Linked DNA regions of Macaca fascicularis. The protein of the gene in region 2 purifies or fractionates together with the protein of the main gene of each other region. This does not show direct contact. Links are inferred from orthologs where the notes say so. Each region holds a gene or a part of one and is shown on either strand. Other genes may lie near its edges.

What was found. Proteins that work in one complex are often made in the same cells at the same time.
Region 1: the proteins of STK24 (region 2) and PPP2CB purify together in Homo sapiens (affinity purification with mass spectrometry; 5 studies listed by BioGRID and IntAct, with this or other methods). This does not show direct contact. The link is inferred for Macaca fascicularis from reciprocal best matches to the Homo sapiens genes STK24 and PPP2CB.

What each region holds. Positions count from the first base shown.
Region 1 is NC_088382.1:34,024,994-34,028,738, forward strand, and holds the start of PPP2CB (serine/threonine-protein phosphatase 2A catalytic subunit beta isoform), read right to left. Parts: upstream 2,174-3,745; 5' UTR 1,764-2,173; coding exon 1,662-1,763; intron 1-1,661.
Region 2 is NC_088391.1:89,413,944-89,417,688, reverse strand, and holds the start of STK24 (serine/threonine-protein kinase 24), read left to right. Parts: upstream 1-962; 5' UTR 963-1,184; coding exon 1,185-1,262; intron 1,263-3,579; coding exon 3,580-3,745. UniProt on the Homo sapiens protein: Serine/threonine-protein kinase that acts on both serine and threonine residues and promotes apoptosis in response to stress stimuli and caspase activation.

The DNA of each region.
Region 1 (3,745 bases), on a different chromosome or scaffold from region 2:
GCAGTTTGTTTCAGAAAGAGAAAAGTACCACCTGCTTGGCACTTCTATATACAAAAATAAATCCTCCTGTGTTAACAGTTACTTAATACACAAAGGCCCCAGCCAACATTACACCCGTTAAAAATACTATTTTAACTTAACACCATCTATTAGTGCTCCTTTCCTAAGTAAATTTCATGATTTTAAGAGTGTCCTAAAATTAGACTAACAAAATCTTTTCTTCACCTACTTCTGCGACGTCATGACTTCCAAACATTATGGTTAAGAAAATTGTATACATTACATCTTAAAATAACATCTTTACTTCTTCATGGACTTCAAGTGAGAATTTTTAACATAAAAATACATGAAAATTATTTAGTCCACCTTGTAAAGGATGAATTTGGAAAACTCTAGACTTTAAAGATGGAGAGATCGAAATAATTCCAGGAGTTAAGAAAACAATGGATACAGAATTCAGAAAGTGAAGATCACACACGATGTACAAGAACGAAATTGATCACCTGCATGTTTTATTATTCTTTGGAAAAGAAAAAAACTTTATATATATTAAAAACAAAAATAACTTTCTGCAAAGTGTTATCGTGCATGAAAACACACATCCCATTTATTTCCAGCAAACACTGTTCCCAAACTTAAGACCAGCTCTCGTTTCTGAATCAACGCTTTACTTCCAAGAGCCGCTCAACGCAAAGACCAGTCACCATCTGTTTCCACCAAAGTCAACCTCTATTTTAAAAATCACAGTTGGCCATCACGCCTACCTCTCCACAAACAAACGCTTGACACATTCAAGAGTCAGTGATTTTTTTTTTTTTTTTTTTTTGAGACAAGGTCTCGCTCTGTCGCCCAGGCTGGAGTGCAGTGACGCGATCTCGGCTCACTGCAGCCAGCCTCCACCTCCTGGGCTCAAGCGATCCTCCCACCTCAGCCTCCTGAATAGTTGAGATTACAGGCACCCGCCCTCACGCCCTGCTAATTTTTTAAAAAAAATTTTTGTGGAGACGGGGCCTCACTGGTCTCTAACTTCTGCGCTCCAGGCTGGTCTTTAACTCCTGGGCTCAAGCAATCCTCCCGCTTCGGCCTCCCGAGTAGCTGTGACCACAGGCGTGAGCCACCGCGCCCGGCTTGAGTTAGTGATTTCCGAGGTGCCCCGTTCACCTGACAAAAATTCTACATTTATTAACAAGTTCATTAATAGGCACGACATTCTGGTTAATTTTAGGTGCATTTTCAGAAACTGGTCTGAAAATGGTCCTTTTTCGGATGTCGCTTTCGTTATTCCACTCGGGAAATGCCAGAGTGGCAGGAACTCCAGTGGAGCGCAGGCGACCCCGACCAACCTCCGGCTTGGCTCCGGGGGCTATGGTTCCCCGCCCGCCCGCCCGCACTCGAGCCTCCCACCACCAGGATCTGGGCCGGGGGCGTGGGGCGTGTACCACGCGGAGGCAGAGGGGCCGGGCGAGGGCAGCCCAACGCCCCGGGGCCGGAACGGCTGGGCCGGCCGCCCGGGTGGACGCCGGAGCCGGACCCACAGCCCCGCGGGCCCCCGGTGGGCCGCGCCGGGCCCGGGGCCAGCGTGCGGACGGGCCGGGGCGGGCAGGAAAGCTGCGGCCCGTCCCAGTTCCGCGCTCCCGCACTCGCCCCCGCGGCGCCCTCACCTTCTCGCACAGCGTCCGCACTTGGTTCTCGTTCAGCTGCTTACACTCGTTCAGCTGCTCGACCCACTGGTCCAGCTCCTTGGTGAACGCCTTGTCGTCCATGGCGGCCCGATCCCGATGCGGATCCCGACCCCCGGCCCGGCCGCTGCCCTCCCCCCTCCCCACCCGCCCCCGGCCCCGGCCCGGGCGCCGCTCCCCTCTCCCTCAGCCGCCGTCGCCAGATCCCACAAGGGGAGGACCGAGCCGGGGAGGGCGGCCGCGGTCCCCGCGCCCCGCCCAAGCCCAGCAGGCGGCTCCGAGCGCGAGGCCTGTAGGAGACCCCCGCCCGCCCTTCCCCGCCCGGCCGCGCGCCGCAGGAGTCGGTGAAGGACGCGGGGAGGTGCTGGGAGGGCGGCGCGGGCCCTCGGACTAGCTCTCGCCGGACGAAGGCCGCCAGCTACCGCTTCAGGCCCGCCTCACGCCTGCCGGCCTCTCCCGGGTATCTTTCCCCTTCTCTCGCTCTTTCTCTTCCCTCCCTCCGGGTTTCCGTCATCGCTCGGGCATTTCCGCCGGGAAAAGGCGAGCAGGCGGCGGCGCCGCCGGGACACGGCGCGCTAGGGGCAGAACGGCGCCCTCGCGTGGCTTGGCGGAGAAACGGTCGGAGGAGGCCAGGATCCCTCCTGTCCCAACCCTGCCCAAGACCAAGCTCTGCTGGTTCTCCCTTTAGATATCCTGATCTCCGGGAACTTTGTCCTCACTTTAGCTTCCTGCAGTGCTTTTTCAGTGCTCGGAACAGGGAATTGGAAAACTTGGGCTTCCCTTAACATTGTCTCCCCAGAGTCTAGCACTCAATAGTAGGCATTCAATAATGGTGGAGTAAATTAATTATTTCCAGGCTTGCCTGTAGCCCTAACATCTTGAATCCTCCCTTTCAACATTAGAAAAGTGAAATGATTGCTCTGTAGGATAATCTGTGGCCCTTCTAGCTCCAGCGCTCTTGGCTGTGTTTTCTGCAATGTGTACTGAGTTGTAATGATTTGTTCATTCAACAAATATTTATTGAGTGAGACACAGCAGGGACCCCTCTTAGGGGCCTTCTAGGCACTCCCACCCCCACCCTCCCCAAGCATGGAAATAAAGGAAAATCTTGAGTTCCCCGAAGGGACATTCCAGGCACCTAACTTCCTCAATAAGTCAATGAGCAACCTGATAAGCAAGAAGGTAATAATAGCTTAAGACAGTAGCCAAGGACGTTAGATTCACAAAATGTTTGCTTCCCTATATAAACTGGAGACAACATATGTCCCTGAGTTGTTTTTCAGAAACCTGGACCTCACCAAATGGAAAATGGTGTCCACTATCATGGAGATCTCAAACTACCTATCTTTGTTCTAAATTTCTTCCTGAGGAGCCTGGAAGAATTCTCAAAGCTTTGCCTCCTTAGCCAATTACAAATCAGAAAATCTTTGAATCCACTTATGACCTGTGGGTCCCTACTTCAGATATCCTGGCTTTTTAGATCAAACCCACGTATAGCCTCCATGTATTGATTTATGACTTTGCCTGTAACATCTGCCTCCCTGCCTTTAAAAACCCTTACCTGTGCTGGGTGCAAGGGCTCATGCCTGTAATCCCAGCACTTTGGGAGGCCGAGGCCAGGAGTTGGAGACCAGCCTGCCAACATTGTGAAACCCCTTCTCTACTAAAAATACAAAAACTTCCTGGGCATGGTGGCAGGCGCCTGTACTCAGGAGGCTGAGGCAGATGAATTACTTGAAATCAGGAGATGGAGGTTGCAGTGAGCTGAGATCTCGCCATTGCACTCCAGCCTGGGTGACAAGAGCGAAACTCCATTTCAAAAAAAAAAAAAAAAAGCACACAAAAAACCTCTTACCTGTAAACCATCAGGGAGTTGGGGTCTTAAGCATGAGCTGCCTGATTCTTCTTGGTTGGTGTGATGCAATAAATGCCTCCCTTTCACTGCAAACCCCAATGTCAGTGTTTGGCTTTGCTATGCTGGTGGGAGGACCTAAATTCAGTTACGTAACATGAGCAACTGCTAGCTACCAGATACCTTGAATAGCAAGTGCTAAATGATCATACTG
Region 2 (3,745 bases):
GGGTGGGGCTCTGTGGCCTTCCAGGGGAATGTGAGGCTCACCCAGGTCTGAGAATCACCGCTCCCAGGAATGACAGTGCTAACCGGCTCTCCTGACCTCAGGAAGGCAGGCTCTTACCACCCTTCTCACCCTTGTCAGCAGGGCTGCCCCTTCCCTCCAGGGCCCCCTGTCTGTGTGTAGGATAGCCTTTGAGGTGTCTCATCTGTGTCCTGTTCAAGCCAGGGTGAGTCTGGGGTTTTCTTATTGCTCAGGGGACATTTCCTGACCACAGTCCCATGCCATTTGTTATACCCGGGCACAGGAGTGTAGAGGTGCATGAGACACAGCCCCTGACTCCTCAGCTTGCAGCTGAACAAAGGACACAGCGCAGAGCAGAGGGCGACTGTGGGACGACAGTCCAGCAGGGGAAGCGGCGAATTCCGTGCACACATGTTGAGCTTGAAATGTCTGGGTAGAAAGAGAGAATGTCTGGGAAGCAGCTGGTCCGGGGGTTCCTGTTCAGAAGGCAGGCCTGAGCTAGCGCTTTGAAAGCTGTCATGTACATGAGTCTTGATCACAGCCTTTCCTTCAAGGTGGTGATTGACCAGAATCCATTGGGGTGTTTTAAAAACATGGGTTATTCACCTTGTTCTCTTCTGAACTCCCATATATTTCTGCAAGAATGTCAGATGTCCCAGGTTTGGGAAACGAGGGCCCCAGACCCTGAAACACTGGGCATCTGTGGGGAGAAGGAGTAGAGGCCCAGGCTGGGACCTGGAGTAAGGGCCAGACAAGGTGGAGTCAAGTTGGAATCTCTGTGAAGATCTTTCTGGAACTAGGGGGACTGGAAGAAGCCAGCGGGAGCAGGGCTGTGGATGCTGAAGGACTGGAAAGTTACCCAGAGGAGGGGGAGGGCGTGGTTGACGAGGCTCAGACACGACACTGCAGCACTGGTGACCGGAGCCAGAGCGGAGCCAGGCTGCAGTGGTGGGGAGGACCAGGCAGGTCCAGATGACTTTGAAGGGACTCCAGAGGAAGGAGAGGGTGGAGGAGGAGGGCTTATGGGTTAGGGAGGGTGCTGTCGTTTGTTTTAAATGGGAGAAACTGGAGCATGTTGCCAAGGGCAGAGAGCCAGCAGAGGGGTGAATGGAAGAAGGAGCCGAGAAGGGGTTTACTGACGAAGCCGTATCCTGGAGGAGAGAAGGATGGACTCCAGAGCCCAGCTTTGGGGACTGGCCTTGAATAAAAGGAGGGCCGCCCTACCTCACCCTGGAGGGAGCACGGTAAGGGAGAGGGCATGAAAGCAACGAAGATAGTAGCTGCCGAAAACGGGGTATGTTTCATTATAGCTAAAAAAGGAGATGAGCGCTGCTTCCCCCGCATCCCCAAAAGCTTCTCATCCTAGCAGCTTGTGTTAGAGGAGGTGGAGGTGCAGGCTCAAGGCCGCGTGCAGGGTGAGTCAGATGGGAGGTACCCACCCGGGCATTCTGTGGCATTCCCAAAAGTGACTGGTGATACTCAACTGGTATTGACAAGCTTGAACATAGGAAGAGGAGGATATTGTAGGGCTGCTCACTAGCTCCGAAAACAGTCTTCACTTGAGGAAATTATCCTGGGCTCTGACTGTGGGTCATTGACTATCTTGGTAAACCCAGGGGTCTTGGACTATGTTTTTAAAACCTGTAAGTACACAGCCAGGCTTCCTCCTAAGTATGACTGTCTTAAGATGTTTGAAATGTAGTGCCATGACTGAAAACAGTTTAGCAACTGTTCAGGAAAAAAAATTAAATGCCTCTTGATTAATCACCCAATTGATATGTTTAGTGAAGTACTTTAAGTGGAAATGAAGTTGGATAGATAGTTTCATTTTTAACACAACGGACGTTTGTGTAGCTTTTTAGGAGCCAAGGGGGATCATGGCTAAAACTGTAGTCCTTATAATCCCTGGCAGCTCGTTAGACCTCGGATTACGCTGGCCATGACCTTCCGGTGTGGGCTGAGCGCTCAGTGCCTGGCCTCTGGCCTGTCCTGCTTTCTTGGTAACCCCAGGATGCGTTTCCCATTGGGTACATGTCCAGCACACAAGCCTTACTTGGTTCATTTTGTACTAAGATGGTTGGTGGGTTTTGTGAGCTTTTGTGTTGTTTGATGTGCAGCCTCAAACCAACATGGGGCAGGGGCACTGCTCCCCTGTGTGCAGGAGGTCACTGTGGCTATCTGCTCATGTGTCGTTGTCATGATATGTGCGTTGTTGCCATGGTGGACACGCTGTAGCACAGTAAGGCCTGCAAACCAGAAATGGGCTGACTGGCTTTCAGCAGTTCTCTTGGAGAGTAGCTGCTCGGAACTCAGTGTGTCTCACCTTGGAGAGCTGTGGCTGGGTAGCCCCTGATGGCCCCGGAGGCTGGCCTCACTCATGATGCACTGCAGTTGCCATAGTGCTGTGTGTGTGACCCACCTCACATGCACTGCTCTGTGGATACCCTCTTCTGTGTCATCTTTCTTCTCGTTCTCTTTCTTTACCTCCTTCTCAGGCCTCCCTGTCCTCCCTGTGTGCTTGTTGCTTTCCCTAGTAGTTCAGCTTCTTCAAAGGACTGACAGATTTGGAGGGTTGGCCTGGCATTCTCTTCCCTATGGACCATTTCTGAGGGAAGATGTGTCTGCAGCGGTGGCAGTTCTTAGAGTCCTTCCTTGCTCTGTGGGGTTCCAGGCTATTGCTTGTCACCAGGGTGCCATTGGCATTTTGGGCTGTGCAGTTATTTGTGGGGAGATGTGCAGCGTCCCTGTCTTGCCTTGCTAAACGTCAGGATCGCTTCTCAGTTTCCTGACAGACAGGCCCTGTGGAGGACCGGTTACTGCCCCCCTTGAGAACTCGGCTGTTCACACGACTCTGTACTGTGTAGCTGTTAGGATGAGAGCTTGAACTCTGACAGCTAGCCTTCTTGGAACTGTATACTACATATGTGTGTGTAACTAATCAGGTGGTTAAGAGCTTTTAGAGGCTATTTCCGGGGTACAGCGTTTATGTGAGAAAAGGAAACAGGCTGCTTATTATTTTCTGGAATCTGGTTAGATTGTTACCGTTTTGGTAAAGGCAGTACTACTCATGAAGAGGCATACTTACGGTATACATTTTTTTTTCTATTCTGTGATATAGCTGGTTAACATTTTAGTAAAAATCCATTTGAATTCCGGAACTTGTGGGGATTGGGTGGGGAGAAAAGTGAATTTTTGCTTAGACAAGAGTGATTTTTCATTAAATCTATGTATCCTAACATGTTCAAATAAGCACTTAGATTTTAATTTACTCTCATTATACAATAGTTGGCATCTTTTCCATGTTTTCTAATCTAGCTGGGTAATTGTTCTTACTGGATGCTTGCTCTCTTTCATAGTCTGATGCGCATGTGTAGGTGAGACCTAGGAATCTTACGCCCTGACCCTGCAGAGCTGTGGTCACTACCAGCCTGATGGCTGGACAGAGAAAATAGATGAGTCCCTGGAAGACTGTGTGGTCTATAACATTACATATAAAATGACAAAGGAGTTGTGGTGCTTTGAGGGACTGAAGTTTCCCTTTTCTCTTCCTTCTCTCTACAGAACCTAAAGGCAGATCCAGAAGAGCTTTTTACAAAACTAGAGAAAATTGGGAAGGGCTCCTTTGGCGAGGTGTTCAAAGGCATTGACAATCGGACTCAGAAAGTGGTTGCCATAAAGATCATTGATCTGGAAGAAGCTGAAGATGAGATAGAGGACATTCAACAAG